Tamandua tetradactyla: one gene and its partner. The protein of the gene in region 1 interacts with the protein of each later gene in a pairwise test. Links are inferred from orthologs where the notes say so. Each region holds a gene or a part of one and is shown in the gene's direction. Other genes may lie near its edges.

What was found. The genes of interacting proteins can lie anywhere in the genome.
Region 2: the proteins of DZIP3 (region 1) and ZCCHC10 interact in binary tests that used the Homo sapiens proteins (3 or more experiments, as listed by UniProt). The link is inferred for Tamandua tetradactyla from reciprocal best matches to the Homo sapiens genes DZIP3 and ZCCHC10.

Annotation. Positions count from the first base shown.
Region 1 is NC_135336.1:38,444,944-38,455,588, reverse strand, and holds the start of DZIP3 (E3 ubiquitin-protein ligase DZIP3), read left to right. Parts: upstream 1-5,261; 5' UTR 5,262-5,551; intron 5,552-10,645. Other genes in the region: protein CIP2A, read right to left, coding at 4,946-5,047. UniProt on the Homo sapiens protein: E3 Ubiquitin ligase proteins mediate ubiquitination and subsequent proteasomal degradation of target proteins.
Region 2 is NC_135346.1:11,881,555-11,892,199, reverse strand, and holds the start of ZCCHC10 (zinc finger CCHC domain-containing protein 10), read left to right. Parts: upstream 1-3,562; 5' UTR 3,563-3,626; coding exon 3,627-3,667; intron 3,668-10,645.

The DNA of each region.
Region 1 (10,645 bases):
CAAGAATAGACCCCCAAAAACCTCTTGAAGCTTGTCTGCTGCCAACCATACTACAGCCCACAGCAGTGTTATGGCAACAAGGGCCATTACTTTGGATCCATCCTGGAATCTCCCCAAAGAAAAGTTTAGAGCATTACCCTACGGCACTCGCAGATTTAGCATTGGAAGCAATCAAAAGGGCTGTGCAGCATTTTGGCCAACAACCTAAAGATCTCAGGGTACCTTACACCGCCCAACAACTTGAGGTGCTTACTGGGTGCATAGATCAATGGGCCATTCTTCGATGTACCTTCCAAGGAAATATTAACAACCAGTTCCCAAAAGATCCCCTCTTACAATTTATCACCCGGCACCCGGTAATTTTTCCCAAAGTAACCTCGCCCAAGCCCCTGGTAGGCGCAATCACCGTGTATACGGATGGTTCAAGCACTGGTGCAGGAGCATACTGGGTAGAAGGGCGTACCCCAAAAACAGTACTCTTTCAGCCACAGAGGCCTCAATGGGTTGAATTACAAGTCGTCATCGCAATCCTAAAAGAGTTTGACGACCCCCTGAATATTATATCCGACTCCAATTATGTCGTGAATTCTGTGGCGGTCTTAGAAACGGTAGGCATGATAAAATATTCCTCCCCAGTAAGACCGTTCTTTATCGAGCTTCAGGAAACTATACATGCCCGACAGTGTCCCTTTTACATAACCCACATTAGAGCTCATACAGGCTTGCCAGGCCCTATGGTACAGGGAAATAACATAGTAGATATGGCCACGCGACAGCCACACATTTTCCCAGCGCTGACACCCCATCAGCAAGCTCAAGAGTTTCACGCTAAGTTTCACATCAATGCAGGCACTCTAGCCAAGCGATTCAACATACCGCGCGCAGCTGCTAGAGACATAGTCAGAGCCTGCCAAAATTGCACAGAGTCAAGAGTGCTTCCTTCAATCGGAGTCAACCCTAGAGGCCTCATTCCGGGAGACATCTGGCAAATGGATGTCACTCACCATTCAGAGTATGGTAAGGCCAAATATCTACATGTGTCAATAGACACATGCTCTCAAGTTATGTTTGCCTCCGCTGAAACAGGAGAAAAGGTCCATCAAGTTATTGCTCACTGCCTTGCCGCCTGGGCGGCATGGGGCAAGCCAAAAATATTGAAAACAGATAACGGACCTGCTTATACCAGTAAAACCTTTCAAAAATTTTGTGAAACTATAGAAGTGCAGTTAAAGCATGGTATCCCTTACAATCCCCAAGGGCAAGGTATCATAGAGAGAGCACACAGATCTCTCAAAGAATTGCTTAAAAAACAAAAGGAAGGAATGGGCCACGGCCTATCCCCAAAAGCCCAACTGTCAGTAGCCTTGTTTACATATAATTTCTTAAATGAAAACTCACAAGGAATGACACCTGCCCTCCAGCATACCACTCCAAACCCATCACATAGAGGTTTGGTCCGATGGAAAGATGTCCTGTCAGGACTGTGGCAAGGCCCTGACCCGGTGCTCAGCTGGGCCAGAGGCTCTGTTTGTGTCTTTCCCCAGGAACCAGGACGCCAGCCGGTGTGGATTCCGGAGAGACTGGTGAGAACCGTGACACCGCCCGGGGGCGCCGAGAAACTGCTGCCCGACAAGTCAGCAAGCTTTCGACCTGAACCATCAGGCCCGGTCTCCAGCCCTACTGATGATGGCGACGACCGAAAAGATGACAACAACAGTGCAAGTGACCCTCCGACCGAGTAGAAGAGAAACTAGCTTTAACCCCACTTTTCCCACTACGAGCTACTGTGGGACTAAGTCACCTCATGGTTCTCTTGGCCCAGGTTGACCACTTGGATTCTTTTAGCAGTGGGACTCTTAGTAACTCTGCTCATTGTTGATTGTTTGTTAGAACGCTTGTTCCAGACGCAGCAACAGCTACGCGTCACCACTATGTTGGCTATGTCACTTGCCCCTGATGCCCCTGGCGACCCCCGCACCGTAGCCCTGTCCTCCCCCCCACTGCGTGGCCCGTCACGGCCACTCAAGGCGGGACGCTCGAAAGTAAGGTCTGCCGCAAAGCCCATGGCTGTATCCCAGGTATAAGTGGCGGCACCAGAAGTCATAATTTTGGTCGAAAGAGAGTCTCTAGGCAAAGTCGCGGTCCTGGCCAGACTAGACTTAAGCCATTGCACAGAGACACCTACGACACTCTCGACTCTGGTTGCCGCTCTCCTGCCCCCCTCATAACCCGGTTGCGAGGCGAAGCACTGCAGGGAGGGTCACGTGGTTTCCGGTTCACGGGCCCTCCGGTCTCTATATGAGGAGGCATTCTGGTTGGTGCCTAGCAAGCCTAGTCCAGACTCCCCAAAGCACCAAAACATGTAGTGGGCCGTTCCGGCCCACGGGAGCTCACTCATCAATGGAGACACCGGGTCAAAATAAGTAAAAAAGGGGGAGATGTGGAGAGCCGCCACCCGGGTCAGGCCTAGTGGACGCGCTGCAGCCTGCTCTAAAGCTCCCCCCGCCCATCGAGTGAGCCAAGATGGCGCCCACATCCTGCTTCCGCGTATGACACACACGCCCACCAACCCGATCTACCAATCACCCTCTTAGACGCGGCAACAACCTATTGGGCTTGAATTATGTATATAAGGTATTGCCCGGACGAGGCGGGGGAGACGACCCACAAGGAGCCGTGCCTGACGGCCGCACAGAGGTCGCTCCCCCGCGGGATGTATTCACCCGGTCGGGGAAAGTTATAGATAATGCAAGCTTAGACCCAGTAAAGATTTGTACTTACAACTGCTGCGTATTCTGGACTCGTTTTCTACCGCCAGGACCGGTTTGTCTGCGTCTCTTTCTCTCTCCCCCTTTTCTTGTCGTACCCTCCGCCGGCCGGGGGCCCGACGTTGAGCGAGGAGACACGGACAACGTACCATTAAAAATACAAATGATCACCCACTAAAAATGGGAAAATAAAAAAACTGACTGTTTTAATTCAGGGGCTGTTGTGGAGGAGTGGATGAGAGACTGCAAATCTCATATACTGCAGTGTGGAGGGTAAAATGGTATAACCTTTGGGGAAACTGTTGAGCAGTTTTTAGCAGTTTCAACTAAAGCTGAACATAAGCTTACCCTACCACCTAACAATTCCACTCCTCAGCATATTAAAGAAATGAGTTTGTTCATTCATAACAAACTGCTATATATTTACACAATGGAATTCCATACAGCAATAAAAAAGAATGAAGTACTTTTATATGTTGCAACATGAATGAACTTCAGATTTTTGTGTTTTTTTGAGTGAAAGAAGCCAAACATGAAAGAGTACAAATTTTCTGAGTCCACTTATATGAACCTTATGGAAAGGGATAATGAAACACTTTATAGGGGCTGGACAGGTTCTATATCTTGATACAGATGATGGCTCTATGAGTGTACAAATGTAATAAAAACCATCAAGTGCCTCACTTAAGATTAATGTACTTGATGTATTTTACTGTATGTATGTCATCTCTCAATTGAAAAAAAAAAGTTCTTAAGAGTAGTCGCTTCAAGCTAGTACTCATCACACCCTTGCAACAAAATACCCCAATGCCAGAACAGTTTTCTGTGAATCTTTCAAGAAGTCAGTTTTTAAGCCACAAATTGCTTTGAAATCTCCTTCAATTCATGCTAAAATTGCACTGAGAATCAAAATATACCTCTATTCTCTGAGAGAAGCAATGTTTCAGACTGCTAACTAAAATAAAATACTTAATGTTTAATTCTTAAATAAAGCTGATGGCCATGTTTATTTTGCGGCTTCTGGACTGCCACCAGCACACTGCTCTATCCTAGTTTGAAACTTAACTGTTATGTTTGCTGGGACTTATTGTGATAATGGATGAAAACAAAAACAAAAACAAAAACAAAAACAAACCTACTTAGGATGTGGGTATCTCCAATAGTTCGAAGAGGAGCCCCACTGAAGCTCAGGAGAACAAAGACACATTTATAATACTATAGTTTCACCAAAAGTTGGTGCTGTTATACCATTCACAATCATCTTCTCTTTGCAGTATTCTGCCAATCCTTGGTACATCAGACCTTCATTAGAGGGGTAATAAACCAAGTAGAATAGATTTTTAAATTACGTTCAATTCTATGTTAGCAGAGGAATTCTACAAAGAGAGAATTCTTAAAATATGCCTTGAATGAGTGAGCTTAACTTTTTTTTTTTTTTAGGTGCATGGTCCAAGAATCGAACCCGGGTCTCCCGCATCGAAGGCGCGCATTCTACCACTAAACCACCTGTGCACCCTACTTTTTATTTAACAGATTAACATTTGAATTCCACAAATGCGTTAACAATTGATAACAAGAGTCTCAAAATAATAAGGGTCACAGGGAATTATGTGCGATTATAATTTTTTCCAAAGAAAAGTTATAACAATAATAATCTAAACACAAATCACTGGGAACTAAGAAAAAGTGAATACAATTCAGCATTTTAGGATTTAAAAACTGTGAGCAATATATTTTTGTAAAGAAACATGATTACGATTACTAGAATTGGAGAAAGGGATTGCTTCTTAGGCCAAAGAAAGTTGAAATAGTATTTTTCAAGTACAAGTTCACTGCATATTCTGCGAGGGCTCTATTTCGATGGCAAAACCAGAACAAGAAGCAAAAGAAGAGAAAATACAAGTCCGAGCTTTCTCCTCTAATCTACCAGAAACACAGCCTAAATTCCCTAACCTTTTATTCCACTCTCCCCTTTCCCAGAGCCTTCTTTCGGCGCTCAACCTGATCGCTGCGGACAGCTAACCGTGGAGGAACTAGGGGCGGGGTGGAGAGTGAGAATTCAAAGCTGACACTCCCTCGCTTTTACCTTAACAAACAGCCCAGGGAGCGAGAGGCCTTCCAGGGATAGGGCCGCCACACCCCACCGCCCATGGACTAAGGATTATTAGATCCCTCACCTCCAAGTGCCGCAAAAGCTGGGTGGCGTTCGCCTCAGACTTAACGGCTTTGTACTGACTGATGATGAGGAGCAAGGACTTCAAGCAGGCGGTGGAGTCCATCGGGACCGATCACGGGCCCACCTGAAGATTTCCACCACCTTGTCTGCTCTGGTCTCCAACTTTCGCCGCGCTTTTTTGATTTTTCGGCCCCACCCCCTCGCTCCCCCGAGCTTCCGGTTCCGGTCAGCCCCCGGAAGTTCCTAGGCACGCTGGGGGGGCTGGATCTCGTTGAAGAGTAGAGGGGTGGTTCGGAGTGCCCACGCACTCGGTGGGTTTGTGGGGGAGGCGTTAAGGCCCGGTCCCTCCAAATCCCCTCTTTTCTCTGAGCCCGCGGGGTTTCGGCTTCATGATCCCGTGAATACGAAAAATCTCGCGAGTTACGCGATTGTGGCTAACCGATGTAGGGGCGTCAGGGGCTTCTGTGGCGTCTGGGGCTGGCTGTTCACCTGTTTGCTTTGCTTTTGTTTTCGTTTGCTTCTTCGGCCTTCACTCTGGATGGCCGGTTTTTCTTTTGTACATCATCTTCTACTTGGGAAATGGTGGCTTTGCCCTAGTCTAGACACGGTGAGGAAATCTGAGGTGGAAGATCTTTGGGCACTAGACTTTGAGGCGGTTTGGGAGGTTCATCATTTTAAATCTCTTATACGTTTATCCCTTCTACCTAGTAATGTTTTTCAGAGTAAACGTTTAGATTTTGTGTCGAGATATTCGTGCCTTTACGGTAGTCTTGTCAAAATGATTCGAAAACACTGCCTCCGGGCGACTCGGGTGTCAGTAGATAGTGTATTGCTCTTCCGGGTGGTTTCGTTAGAGTTTGTTTTTGTAAATGAAGGTGTCAGTTTTTGTCTGGTGTGATTGTTTTATAAATCTCGGTGTTTGGAAAGATGACACTTTGTATTTTTTAAATCGGATAATTAGTGTATGCAAGAATATGTTATGAAGTGAGTGAGTAGATGGTTTTGGAGTCTTAATTTGTGTTAATGTCGAATAAAGCTTTAAAAAACCAACTAATGATAAATTGTAAGCATAGAGTGCATGACCATTTAGTTAACTCATTAATCAGAAATCATGTTTTCTCAATTCAAAGAACGTATTTTTTATATCACTACATTTTTAAAGGCAAGACTTATTTCGATATTAAAAATATAATTTTTGCTATTAAATCTGAAAGCCTCAAATGATTTGGCCAATGAGACATTCACGTAAAAGTCTTTGGTTAAGGAATGTATACATAACATTCATTCATTCAGTAAACAATTATTAAATGTATAACATGGGGCTAGGCATTGCCAGTCAAGATACAAAGATAATTTCTTCACTGCTGTGTAATAAGGGAAATGAACTAAATAGAAAGTACATATGGGAATTCATTATGCAAATGAGAGACCATACAGTGATGGTAAATGGTGGAGGCAGGCTGTGTGGTACAAATCCTAACTCTACCTTTTACTATTTGACCAAAGGCAAATTCTCATTGTATTTCAGTCTCTAGGTAAGGTGAATAAAGTCTAACTAATAGTAATACCTGTTTCATAGGGTTGTTCAACATTTTTGAGACCCTTTAATGTTCAAAGATGCAAGCGTCAGTGAATGAAACAAATTCTGCTGCCATTGAACTTACACTCTGGTAGAAAGACGATAAACAGTTAAAGAAGATAATTTAGAGAAAAAAAAAACAGAGCAGAGGTATTACTCTGGAGTAATGGTGGTGGTTGTGTGGATAGTTATAATTTTAAATGGGGTCATCAGGATAGGTCTTATTGAGAAAGCAGTATTTGAGGAAATACTTCAAGGAGTTAAGAAAGAGCCCTGCAATTTAGGAGAAAAGGTATCCAGATGTTGGGCATATAGGAAATAATAAGAGCAAAGATAGAGTGATAAGGGCAAAGGCCTCGAAATGGGCATGGCAATGTGTTGTCAGGGACAGCAAGGAGGCCACCATGGCTGGAGTGGAGAGAGCAAGGGTAAGAGTAGTTGGAGATAGAGACCATTATAATATTAGTTAATCAATGTAAAGAGAACATTTACCTGGCTTAAGTGGGTTCTTGGTGAATATGGCCATCATTGGATGGTCATTTGCAAATGTAGTGATAAGAATTTAGCAGTGGTATAAATTTGAAAAAAATAGGCTTTTTCACTATACTGGCAAGTATATAATGACCCATATGCTGGGTTTGGGGAGAGCGTAAAAACTGCCTGCTGTAATGCTTTCTTTTTTTTTTAATAGCTTTATTGAGATATAATTCACACACCACACAATTCATAGATTTTTTAATGCTTTCTTAATTAGAAATCTTTCATTTTAAGCGGCCATACAAATTTTGCAGTTTTCTCCATAGAGTAGTTATTTTGATATAAAATGTCTTCCTCTAAAAATCCACACCAAAAATTGATGTTGTAAGTTAGTAGAAGACATCTTTAGCTAGAGATACTTGCGTATCCTAATTTAAGAAACACAGAGCCACACTTTTAAGGTCAAAATAGTGTAGAGGAGGAGGAGGCTATGAAGCTAGATTCAGTTAACTAAAGGTGATGTTAGGCTAGAGCTTGGATTCCATCCTGAATTAAGTGGTGATCTTTGCTTTAGACTAGGGCTTGACCTAGTAAGGTTTGTATTTTACCTGATAACTGGCTGATGGATGGGGTATGATTTTGAAGAGGATGAGACTTGAAATAGGGAGACTGTATAATTTGCTGGACTGTGTCTAAAGGATAACTAGTATAATGGAAGTGGACAGAGTGAAGAGGTGACAAATTTGAAAAATATATATATATAAAGTAGAATAGGCAGGACTTGCTGACTAATTGTGGATGTGAGAAATGAGACAGTGAGTCTGAAAGAATTTCTGAATTTCTAGGTTGGGAGTTTTAGAGATGTAGTTTGCTGAGGTAGTTAATAGCAAGTGTTCATGGTGTATTTTGTGTGCAATGAAATTTTGTATTCTTTGTCATATAATATTTTGTCATTCTTAGTGTATTCCTATTACATGCTTTTTGTTACTGACTGGGTTCTTTTTTTCTCATAAATTTCTCATTTTTATTGCTATTCTTAAAGATACTGATTTTTAGTAAATCTTTCATCCACCTACCTAAAATATCATTTATTTATTTATTTATTTATTTAGGCATGGGCAGCCTCCGGGAATCAAACCAAAATCTCATTAATTTTATTAGAGTTTTGCTTACTATCTTAGATTTTCTAGACGTATCAGTAAATAATGATTTCATCTCTTCTTTTCCAGTAATTTATTACATTGTCATAATCTCTTAAATGTGACATAATCATGGTGGTAGTGAGCAATTTGTCTCATTGTAATAGGAATGATCTCAATATTTTAACGTTTAGTGTGATTTGTGCTGTTGACTTATGATACACATCTTTGTCATGTTTAGGAGATTGGCTTTTTATGCTTGTTTTATTTAAAGATTTGCTAAGAAGTGTTTGCTAAAATAAAACTTGTAGTTTATTATATCTTATTTTCCCCTTTAAAATGTCAATGCTGAAAAAAAAAGGAAAAATGTCAATGCTATGGCTTATGTTTCTTTTTGTCCTTGGGATAAAAATAGCTCACACTTAACATTTACCATGTGCCAAGCGGTGTTCTAAGGACCTTATACTTATTTAATCTTCATACTAACATCATGATCTCCATTTTACAGATAAAAAAAGCTAAGACAGAGGTGACGTAATTTTTGCCCATAGCATACAGGTAGGTAGTAATAGCAAATCCTCTGTATGCTATGCTGCAGGATTTTCCTTTTTTTTATCAGAGCAGCTGTAGGTTTCATACACACTTACCCCTACCCCCCTCTACCCTCCACCTCTGTTCCTGTTAGTAACATTTTGCATTAGTGTGGTACCCTTATTAAAATTGATGAAACAATATTATCATTGTTATAACAACAATATAATATAGGTAATAGTATTATCTATAGTTCATCATTTGTGTTAGAGTTCACTCTTGGTGTTGTGCAATTTTTTGGGTTTTTGAAATTTTAATTATGGTGACATATGCAACCTAATGCTGCAAGTTTGAATGTTCTGATATTCAGGATTTTATATCTATGCAGAGTTAACCATTTTTTCTGTATTCTCCCTCTTGGCATTTGGGTTAGAGTTTACTTTTGAAAAATGTATTAAAGTATTTCCGTCTTTTTCTGAGCTGTGGAATAATGAGAATTACTATAGAAATCAACTGCTCCTTATGGGTTTTATGGACCTAACCTATAAAATCATCAAACTTGATAGCTTATTTAATGGCAGATCTTTGGCAAATATTTGAATTTTGCATATGATCATTGATCTGTTCATTTTTTTCCTACTTTTTCTTGAGGTAATTTTAGCAATATACATATTTAGCCAACTGTTTATCTGGATTTAAAAATGTATTGTCATAAAGTTGCATTAAATACTTCAATAATTCTCTTAATCTTTTCTTTATATGAATATATTTTCTCATTCTGATGTTATCTTTTTCTTAGTGGGGTTTCCAGAGGTTTGTCCATTTTATTTAACTTTTCAGCAACTGACTGGTTTTATTTATTAACTCTCTATTTCCTTTCTTTTCAGAACCACTAACTTTACTTTTTATCTTTATTAACCTGCATACATATTTTTCTTTATTTTGTTCTATTTCAAATTTTATAAAAATTGAAGTTTAGTATACTTCCATACTATTTAGTACAGTTCTGTACATAATGTTCCATATTATTTCATTTATTTTTCATAAAGAACATTTGTTTTATGCATTAAAAATCAGAAAAATTGCTTTATTTCTGAAAAACAATTATGTAAAATCAGTTTAACCATCTAGTAAATATATATTTTTAAAATGCTGATATTTATTCAGTCATCAAATATTTACTGAGTACCAGGTACAGTCCTTTTTCAGTGAGCTTACAGTCTATTGGGGACATAAACAAACTGGAATAAGTGCTACCAAGGAAAGTAGAGACTACTATAGGAGTACTATAGAAGTAATTTTTGTGGGTAAAATATCAAATATCCAATTCTTTCATTCTTCAAGGACTCAATATAAAATCCCTCTTCTCTGTTAACTCTTTATTACTGCTTGTACTTTTTACATTTGGCTTAGTTATTTTCTATAATTTATAGTTGAGGGAACAGGCTTAAGGGAGCTAAATAAAACTGGCTTAGGGTCTCACACCTCTAGTTCAAGACTAACTCTTCTATTTCCTCTGGAAAAACCTAAAAAGAATATATTCAATACTGAATAGTAAAAGGGAAAATTTAATATCTTATAACCAGAATTTAGGTCATATGAGTTGGACTAAATAAGGATGTGAATCATAGTTTTATCAGAACTACCACATTTGTAGAAGGCCCAATATTGTAAAATGAGAATTATCCCAGGATTATGAAACCACAGCACTAGTTGTTCATTCATTCATTCACTGAATTGAGTGCTTGAATGCTAGGTACATTTCCAGAATCTGAAGATGCAGCAGTGAATCAAATACACAAAAATTTCTGGCCAAATCGAACTTTCATTTTGATGGAATATACAGACAATAAATAAAATGTAATTAAAATATATGGATGTTAGTAATAGATGTTCAGGGTGGATGGGGGACGGTAAGAAAAGGGGATAGTAAGAATAATGGAGTGGAGATAATAATGGTGTTGCAATTTTAGAT
Region 2 (10,645 bases), on another chromosome or scaffold:
TAGTAGTTGTTCTGCAGGAAGAACTAAAATGCGCACATAAATAAGCCCCCATCTTGGCCCCTCATAAGCCTACTTCTAATGATGCCAAAGAATCACCCTCAGAGGGCCTCTTTTGTTTCTCAAGTGTGGCCTCTCTTTCTCTCTAAGGCAACTTGGCAGGTGAACTCATTGCCCTCCGTCCTATGTGGGACATGACCTTCAGGCGTGTATAGTTCCCTGGCAATGTGGGACATGATTCCTGGAAATGAACCAGGACCAAGCATACTGGGATTGAGAAAACCTTCTTGAACAAAAGGAGGAAGAGAGAAATGAGACAAAATAAACTTTCAGTGGCTGAAAGATTTCCAACAGAGTCAAGAGGTTATCCTGGGGGGGTTTCTTATGCATTATATAGATATCCCTTTTTAGTTTACGGTGTATTGGAGTGGGTAGAGGGAAGTACCTGAAACTGTTGAACTGTATTCCAGTAGCCTTGATTCTTGAAGACAATTGTACAACTATAGAGCTTTTAAGGTGTGACTAGGTGATTGTGAAAACCTTGTGGCTGATGCTCCTTTTATCCAGGGTATGTACAGATGAGTGAAAAAAAATAAGGACAATAAATAAATAAATAATAGAGGAGGATAAGGGGTAAAAAAAATTGTGTAGTTTGCAATACCTGTGGCCAGTGATAGGGTAGCGTAAGGGAAATGGACTGTATGGGTTTATCCTTTGTCTTTCTATTTCTTTTTCTGGAGCGATGCAAATGTTCTAAAAATGAGCATGATGATGAATACACAACATATGTTTATATTGTGAACCACTGATTGTATACTTTGGATGGATTGTATGGTGCATGATGATACCAAAATAAAAATATTTAAAAAAAACATTGGATGGGTACTACCACAAATAGATCATTGGAAGAAAGAAGAATGCACAAACATACTAATTTGTGTATATTTAGTATATGACACGGTGGCATTTCAAACCAATAGAGAAGAAGCAGATTATTTATTAAACGATGTTCCAATAAAGTAAAAATTAGGATTAAGTATATAATCATAAAAACAAAGCTGTATATCAATTACAATTTAAGAATTACAGTAAAATAAAGAAAATATTTCTAAAATAATTTTGAACATAAAAGCGAAATCAAGGACTCCGTAAACAAAAAGATTGTCAAATATGACTATATAACAATTTACTGCATCCTGTTTTTTTTTTTTGGCTGCTAAGCAAATTACCATGCAATGATTCATCTTAAACAATGGGAATTTATTTGATCATGGTTTTGAGGCTAAGAGAAAGTTCAAAGTATGCCATCATCAAGGCAATGCTTTCTTCCAAAGAATGCACTCTGGGGTTGCCTGATGGCCATCCTTCCTCCTTAGCTTTTCGGTCACATGGCAATGCACTTGGCTGCCTCTCCTTTCTCTTCTTTGTTCCATCGCTTTCAGCCTCTGACTGCTCCCTCTGTGTCTTTTTTTCTGTCTGAATTTCATTCAGCTTATCAAGGACTCCAATAATAGGATCCTGATGGAGGTGGGTCATCCTTTAACAGAAATAACCTCATCAAATGTCCTACTTACAAAGGGTTCACACCCAGAGGAACGGATTAAGTTTAATCTATTTTCCACTTTTTCTAGGATACTTAAAGCTCCAAAACACCACTCTCCTTTTGGGTAAATGATCACAAAGTTAAAGGACAACAGACAAATATTTGTAATATACAAAACAAAGGATTTATAAGTAAAATATTTAGCTTTTACACATCAATATGAAAAGAATAAAAATCCAATAGAAAAATAAGTTAAAAATGTTACCAATCATGAAAAAAGTATAATCTATGACGATCATATGAAAGGTACTTAACCTCATCAATATATCACATTGACTTACTAGATAGGTAAATGTTTAAACAGTTTGACCATTCGCTATTCTCCGGAGGGAACAGGTTTGGATATAACTAAATTAAAGTCCAATCTGGTAATATCTATCAAAATTAGAAGTGCATATATCCTTTTATGCAATTCCACTTCTAGAAAGTCTTCTTACAGTAACACTTGAGTTAAGTGCTTGTGGGGGCCCAGGGACCAGGTCCCCTCCTAAAAGGCATGTAGCTGGTCTGCTTTACCTAAGAGCAAAGGTCAAGAAAGTAAACAATCTCCCTAGAGGGGGCAGACATGTAACCAGAGACGTAAACGGTATAGATTGTATCTGAGTCTTAAACACTAATCTTAGTAAAACATCAGGTCCTACGTCCTTTAAAGATTATACTAGGGAGACGCTAATGTCCTCATACTATATGGAATGTCGTTGTCTAAACTCAAACACGCATTGCCATCCCCCACCCCCGCACTCCTATTCCTAGCCAGGCACTATCACTCTGGACCGGCTGCCACTGGAGAATCTTTTCTGTTCATAAGTGCCAATAAATCTGTATCTACTTCTGTGCCAGGCATGTTTTTCGGTCTCACAGCAGCACCAGCTCATGCTTTGCCTGAACTGGGTCTGGGTGGGAACAGTGTTTAAAGATCTATTAATTCTATCATTGTGGTAAATGACCCAATTGTACATCAATAGAGTACTGGTTGGATAAATTGTGCAGTAGATATGTAATCCATACAATACATAAAAAGAGTGAATTAGATCTATATTGTTGATATGGGAAAGATGCCCATAAATCATTGAGGAATGAAAAAAGCTATCCTAACAACAGAAACGTAGTAAGATTCCAATTTTTAATTAATAAAATAGGCTCAAAGGTCACATCATCAGAGACCTTCCCTAATTCCCATAGCTAATCACTCTTTATCCCCTTACTCTAAATTATTTATCCTTAGAATATTCATAAGCTCATTGGAAATAGCCTTCTTGGGCTTGTTCATTGTCTGACGAAAGCACCATGTGTACAAGGATTTTATTTGTTTAGTGTCCTAGTCCCTGCTCTTACAACATTTTAGGTCTCAAATAAGTATTAATTGAAATAAATATTAATGGGAGACGGAGAAACACGTATGTATATGCAAATTTATATGTTTTAAAGAATCTGGAATTAAAGAATAATCTCTCCATAGTCTGACATTAAACGTAGGTGCAGCTAAAATATCCCAAAATAATATTTGTATAACCCTTTTCCAGGTAAAATCATATAGTCTCATCTGATCCTTTTGGCATCCCTGTGAAATGCATAAAAATAAAAATAATTAACACGTTTACACTTTACGGTTCGCTAAAGTCATTCTTTTTTGATGCTCACATTCCTGTTTAATTCTTTCCTTCCTATTTTACTCTGCAGGGTCTTCCAGTTTTCTGAAAACTGAATACTCTTTCATTCTTTTTTGTCTTTGTATAGAAATAGAGTACTCCTTCCAGAATGTTCTTCCCTGCCTTACCTACCCAATATATGTGTACTCATCCCTCAAAACCCTGTTCAGGCCCAGAAGAGGGCCTCACTTATCTTCCTCAAATCAAAGGACCCACGCAAGAGGGGCTTCCGCACCGCGCACCGACCCCCGCCCACCCTGTCTACACTTGGAATCTGCCGTCTGGCTCCGCCCAGGTCCCTGCCGCCGGATCAGAAGGCCCCGCCCCTCCTGAGAAGTTTCCCAAGACCCCGCGCGGCTGTCCGGAGCTGCGCTAAGATGGCGACTCCCATGCATCGGCTCATAGCCCGGAGACAGGCGTAAGTGAGGGCCCGAATTCCGCGACAGGGCGGGCTGGGGGCGGGGAGACTCGCGTCAACCGGCCGGTGAGCGGGCGCTGAGTTTGGAGGCCGGACTTGGATCCCCAGTGGGGAGCGGGGGAGTGTAGTCGTTTCTGTATAGGGCGCCTGCCCCCAGAGAGCTCCGGCCAGTTGGTTTGGTTCCCGTGGGCTGGCGATTTCCGAGGACGTAAGGTACGCGGTGCTGGACACAGTGTTGAGGAGAGCCGCGGTGTTTGGTTCCCTCTAAGGGAACGCTTAGCAGTTGGTCACTAAGTGGTGTCTTGACCGTCACCCTCCGCTCACCCCGTCGCCCACCCCACGCGCGCCCAGATGAGGCCTGAATCCCTGTTCGCACAGTCCACTCCCACCTGGTAAACCTTCAACCCTCCTGAATAGCTTCCAATCTAGCTGGCTTTTCCCACGCTTTCCCAAAGAGGAAGCAGCCTGTTTACAACGCCAACTCTTCCCCCAATTTCTGCCAGAGATTCTGTCCTCCCATGAGTGTTAATTTATTCAGGACCTACCGCTCTCTATCAGAATCTGGGTATAAAGAAAAGGCGGTGTTCAAGACAGAATCCCTGCTTTCACAAAGTTTACATCCTAGTGGTGGAAATATTGGTAAACTAAACAAATTAGTAAACACAGTTGGTGAAAAGTGTTTTGATGGAAAGGGAGAAAAGACTACTTCGGGTTGGGTGAACTGGAAAGTCATCTCTGAAAAGGTGGTACAAAGTGAGACTGAAAAGGTAAGATAGGAGCCAGTTGTGAAAGATTTGAGAGAAAAATAACCAGACAGTGGCACAGTTGATCTGAAGCTGGAAGTAATTTAGTTTTAAGAACTATGAAAGGCCATTTGGGCTAATGAGCAAGAGTGGCACAAGCTGAGTTTACAGAGGTTTACCGCTTCTTGTGAAGCCTTTCTTCTGCCTACTTGCAGACCCGAACAGTGTCTGCCACTTTTTCACTCTCTCCGCATTTCATGCCTTCACCGTTGGCACACCTATAGTCTCATATAGCTCATAGTCTGCTATACTATATATGCATAAATATGCTTGTATTTGTTTAAATTTATTTCCAGAACCCTGTTCTTTTCTCTCCTCCAACTGAGTCCAGCCCAGGTGCCCAATTAAAGCGAGTTCCTTGAACATAAGGTTATTGGGTGCTGGTGTAGTAAAGTTGGTGGTAAAGGGCTTTGAAGTTAGTTCTGAGGTAAAGAATGAGGTGATAGTAATACTTAATAGGAGTGCTAAGTGATGTCGTCAGGGTCTCATTTCTTCCTCTTTCCCAGGTTTGCTCTTTTGGGTGACCTCACACTTGGATAGACTCTCTCCTTTGGTCTCAAGATGGCTGCATTATCTAGGGTTCATTATACCCTCTCAGCTTCAAGTTGTTTGCATCTCATTGGTCTAGATTGGATTACATGCCAAACCCTGAACCATGTGTAGGAGATTGTGAAGCCCTGATTGACTTAAATAGCATTCTTCTCCCAGCACAATTCAGATGCTCACCATCAAGCAAATTGATGAGCTGGGTGGGTAGATAAAAGGTGGTAAGTGAATGCTGGATTGGCAAAAACAATCAATGTCTACTGTAAGTGTGAGGTGAAAAATAAGACTTTTAGCATCTAAAGAAATTTGCTATTACTTTTTTCGTATGTATCATGAAGTTAGTTTAAACAGATGTTCCATTTCTATAGTGTGCCTGTATTTGGTACATGAGTACACAGAAGTAAAAACAAATCTTTACTTTTAGGAGCTTCTGGTCTTATTGAAGGAAACGTGGTATATGATAAAAGATGTCATGGTATACAGACTGTACGTTCCTCAGGGATTCAGACCCGTTCATCTATCCCTGAAAAAAAAACAAAGAAAAAAAAGAAAAAAATTCAACAAATGGTGCTGCAATAACCAGAAACTCACACAGAAAAAGAATGACATGTGAGCCCCAGCATACCAAAAAAAACAACTAGTGGAGTCCAGGAGTCTGGAGTGTATGTTTGTGGGGAAAGCAGGAGAGGAGCTTTCCTCTCTTTTACTTCTCGTTTTATATTCATCAAAAGGGTTTAATCATACCTGTAAGGGGTATATATCACTTCCATAATAACAAGTGTAAAACTTTTAAAATTAGTTATAAAAAGTGAGAAAGTATCTGGATTAATAGAGAAAACAGGGAAATAAAAGGGAAAAAAGCAAGCCTAAATTTGCACTCCCCATGCAGTATATCTCAGTCGATCTCCTTTAAATCAATTGGAATGAAATTATTTCCCATCTTATAAATTGTAATATATCTGCCATTATGTAAATAGATTTTCCAGGGGCATTTCTTCTACTATACCCTCTACTGGCTTCAACTTCTCTCTTTTCAGTATCCAGAGCAGTTATCTACCCTTGGTCTGAAGACCTTCTGTAACAACAAACTTACTCTCCTAAAGTGGCCTTAACACTTAGATTTTTCAAATCTAACAAGAAAAGTTATCTTCATGTTGAGCAGAAAAGAAAATAATATTTATGAAGCCAGAGCCTGCTTCCTTCTACCTTCTCTGCTTTTGGCTCAAGCTGTGATTTCAGTTTTTTCCTTTTCCACATGAATTGCTGTCAAGGCAGAGCTTCTCTATCTTGTATTTGCATTGAGTATCTGGATTTAAGTGTCAGACTTACCTTTATCTTTGTTAAATTTCAAGTTGAGTCAACGCAGAGTTTCAGGCTGTCAAGATCTTTTTGGATCCTGACTCAGTCATCCTCTTTGGTTTGTGTTAATTGCAGATTTGGTAACTATGTACAACTGTGTTCTTTTCTGAGTCATTGATAAAAATGTTGCAAGACCACACTGAGGACCAAACCCTGCAGGCCACCACTGTTCCTTTGTATATATTTGCTCTGACCCATTAAGCAACGCTCTTGGTCTGTGATGTTCCATTAATTGTAAATATAGATCATACTGTGTCCTGTTCAAAAGGATATTGTGAGACTTTCTAGATGGCTTTATGAAGTACAAATACCCAAAGACAATAAAGGTATTATTAGTCTATGATTTGATACCTAGTGATCGCGGCCTCTCTTTCTGAGTGGATTTTATAAATCTGGCCAGAATTTTGCCTGATATGGGTGTCAAATTCACTGGTCTAGTTTGTGAAATCTACCCTTTCCCCCTCTTTCAGAGTCAAAGAGCATTTGCCCACCCCCAGTCTTTCAGTAGCACTTCTGTTGCCAGGGTTCCTCAGATTACCAGTGGCAGTACAGCAGTCTTACCTGGAAAATCTTTTGTGTGTGTAAGGAAGTAATTCATCTGGGCCATGTCACTTGATCAGCTAAGAGCTCAGTTACTGGCTCCTCAGGTGTATTGGGCTTCATTTCTACTCTTTTTAATCTGCAAATAATTGTGTTTGAATGTTAAGATTGAAACATAGTAAAAATAGACCTGCTTTGAGCATTACCAAAACAATAAAATAAAAGTTCTTAATGTTCTTGATATTTTTCATTAGACTCTGTTTATTTTACAAAGGGTTTCAGATAGTTCTCTTATAGACTATGACCATGCTTCTGTACTCCTTAATTATGTGTTCCTTTAAAAAATTATTTTATAACTTAACATATAATCCATGTTCATTGTAGAAAAGTTTAGAAAATATGGATAAGAAAAAAGTATATAATCCCACCCCAAAGATAATCATTGTTTACATTTTATTTTATAAGCTTTTTGAACATTTATAATATCTTAAAATGGCCTCAGTATTCTCTGCATGGATATACTGTAACCTTTTGGCCAGTTCCTGTGCTGTTGGATAGTTAGGTTTATTATTTTTTTTCATGGGCAGGCACCAGGAATCAAACCTGGATCTCTGCCATGGCAGGTGAGCCCTCTGCCACTGAGCCACCGTGGCCCTCCCTGTTAGGTTTATTTTTATAAACTATATTGTACTCCTTTTTGTTTGTTTGTTTTTATAGTTTTATTAACCCTCATGTGAAAAATCTGCGCAGGCATGGATCAAATCCCTGAAGGGTCTTTACTCCTTTTTTGCCAACACCAACATGGCCTTTGCAGTATCCCTGACTTTCTTCATTCTGCTCTTGCATTCCTTTCACTGTTTCCTTGAGGTCTTTTTCTTCTCACATAGGCCATATCTTTAAAGTCTGTGTTTGGGTTCATTTTTCTTTGCATAATCTCAAGGAATAGTAAATCATGTCAAAGACAGTCATCTTGCCGCCAAAAGCAAGCGAGGTTCCGAATCCAAAGACAAAGTTGACATCTGGTGTAGTCTTGTACATTTTTGCTATTTTTTTCCCAAATTTCTGTCTTAAGTACCTCTGTCTTTCCAGGGTGAAAGACATTGATGACTGTTTGTTTCCACTGACATAGTTGGTTGGTCATGAACTTCCTGGTCCAGATGGTTACCATGTCTTTCATGATGGTGGCTAATCCTCAGGCATCCAGGGAGGGGGAACATATATATATATAAAATAATACTTTTAAAGGATATTTCTGTAATTAAAACTTTGCATACAACCATTATTATTTCTAGGTTAAATGCTATGGCCATTTTTTTAAAGTCAGTCTTATTGAAGTGTAATTTGCATGCAGTAAAATTCATCCATTTTAATGTGTAGTTCTAGGAATTTTGACAAATACATATAGTTATGTAACCACTGCCTAAACTTGTCTCATTCCTCTTTGTAATAAACCTTCAGCCCATCCTGATCCTCTAGTAACCACTGATCTGTTTTCTGTCCTTATATTTTAGTTTTATCAGAATGTTCTTTGACTAGAATCATCCTTCTTTCATTAAGGTAATGGCTTTGAGATCCTTCAAGTCCTTCCATGTAATGGTTGCATTCTTTTTTTTCTCATTGTCAGTGGGATTCTATTGTATGGATGTACTTGTTTATTTATCTACCAGTTGAGTGACATTTGAATTGTTTCCATTTATGGGTTATTAAGAATAAAACTTCTAGAAACATTAGTGGGTAGGCTTTTGTGTTAACATACGTTTTCATTTCTCTTGAGCAAATACCTAAAAGTAGGGTTGCTGGGTATATTCTAAGTATATATTTAACTTAGAAAGTAACTGTCAAGCTGTTTTCCAGAGTTCTTTTTTTTTTTTAATAGTCATTCTGTTGTTCCTGTATAACAATATCGATAGCTGAAAAGACTGTCCTTTCTCCACTGGAACCCTGGTACCTTTATCAATAACAATTGTCTATACATATGTACAATCTATTTCTGAACTCTGTTCTGTTTCATTGACTTATTTATTGATCTTTATGCCAGATACTACATTATCATGGTAACTTTGCCTACAAGCTTTGTAATAAGTCTTGAAATCAAGTAGTGTTAGTCCTCTAACTTTGTTCTTTTTTCAGAGTTGTTTGATTATTCTAAATAGGTCGAATTTTAATCAATTTCTACAAAAGAGCCTGCTGGGATTTCACTTATGGTTCATTGAATCTGTAGAGCAATCAAATTGCCCTTCAAAGAGTTTGTGCCATTATTCATTCTTTCCAGCAGTCAGAGAGTCAGAGTGCTCATTCTCCATCTCTGCCAACAATAGACATTAAAAACAACTTAGTCCCCTTTGGGGAATGGTGAGAACCAGGGAAAACTCAACTTCCCCAAGTTGAATTCTTGATATTCTCACAAGCAGTGTGGACAACCAAAGCTATAGGCTGAGCCCCCAGTCTTGGGGTTTGTTCATATGAAACTTAATCCCACAGGGGATAGGTCAAGCCTACTTAAAATTAAGCCTAAGAGACTTCCGGAGAAGATGGCGGCTTAGTAAGATGCGCGGGTCTTAGTTCCTCCTCCAGAACAGCAACTAAAGAAACAGAAACAATACGAAACAGCTCCCGGAGCCACGACAGAGACCAAAAAGACAGCGTACCCCATTCTGGAACGGCTGAACGGGCAGGGAGAATCTGCTGCGGTGAGATACCCGAGGGGCGTGTGCTTTCCTGGGCCGGGGCGGCTGGCAACCGGGGTTCCTTCCACACACGTGGCTTCCCGGTCCGACTGGGAACGTTGGATAGCGGGGCCCTCCTGCCACGCTTGGTGTCTCGGGCCAGCTGGGCAATTTGGACCGGTACTCCCCCAAGCCACGGTGGCCGGCGACCCCCCTCCACGCGCAGTTTCCCGGGCCGACTGCGAGATTTGGATTGGCAAGTTAAAGGAGCCACAGCATCTTTTACTGGTGGGACCTGCAGACAGACGAGCACCACGAGCGCCACCTACTGGGCAGGAAAAGAAAAACAGAGCCCAGAGATTTCACAGAAAAACCTTTCAACCAGCCGGGTCCCACACCCAGGGAAATCTGATCAAATGCCCAGACACCAGCAGAAAATAATGGATCACGCTCGGAAAATTGAAGATATGGCCCAGTCAAAGGAACAAACCAATAGTTCAAATGAGATACAGGAGCTGAATATACGAACAGAAATGGAAAACCTCTTCAAAAACCAAATCAATAAATTGAGGGAGGACATGAAGAAGACATGGGCTGAACAAAAAGAAGAAATAGAAAATCTGAAAAAACAAATCACAGAACTTATGGGAGTGAAGGACAAAGTAGAAAAGATGGAAAAAAACAACGGATACCTACAATGGTAGATTTAAAGAGACAGAAGCTACAATTAGTGAACTGGAGGATGGAACATCTAAATCCCAAAAAGAAACAGAAACTATAGGGAAAAGAATGGAAAAACTTGAGCAGGGGATCAGGGAACTGAGTGACAATATGAAGCGCGCAAATATACGTGTTGTGGGTGTCCCAGAAGGAGAAGAGAAGGGAAAAGGAGGAGAAAAACTAATGGAAGAAATTATCACTGAAAATTTCCCAACTCTTATGAAAGACCTAAAATTACAGATCCAAGAAGTGCAGCGCACCCCAAAGAGAATAGACCCAAATGGCATTCTCCAAGACACTTACTAGTTAGAATGTCAGAGGTCAAAGAGAAAGAGAGGATCTTG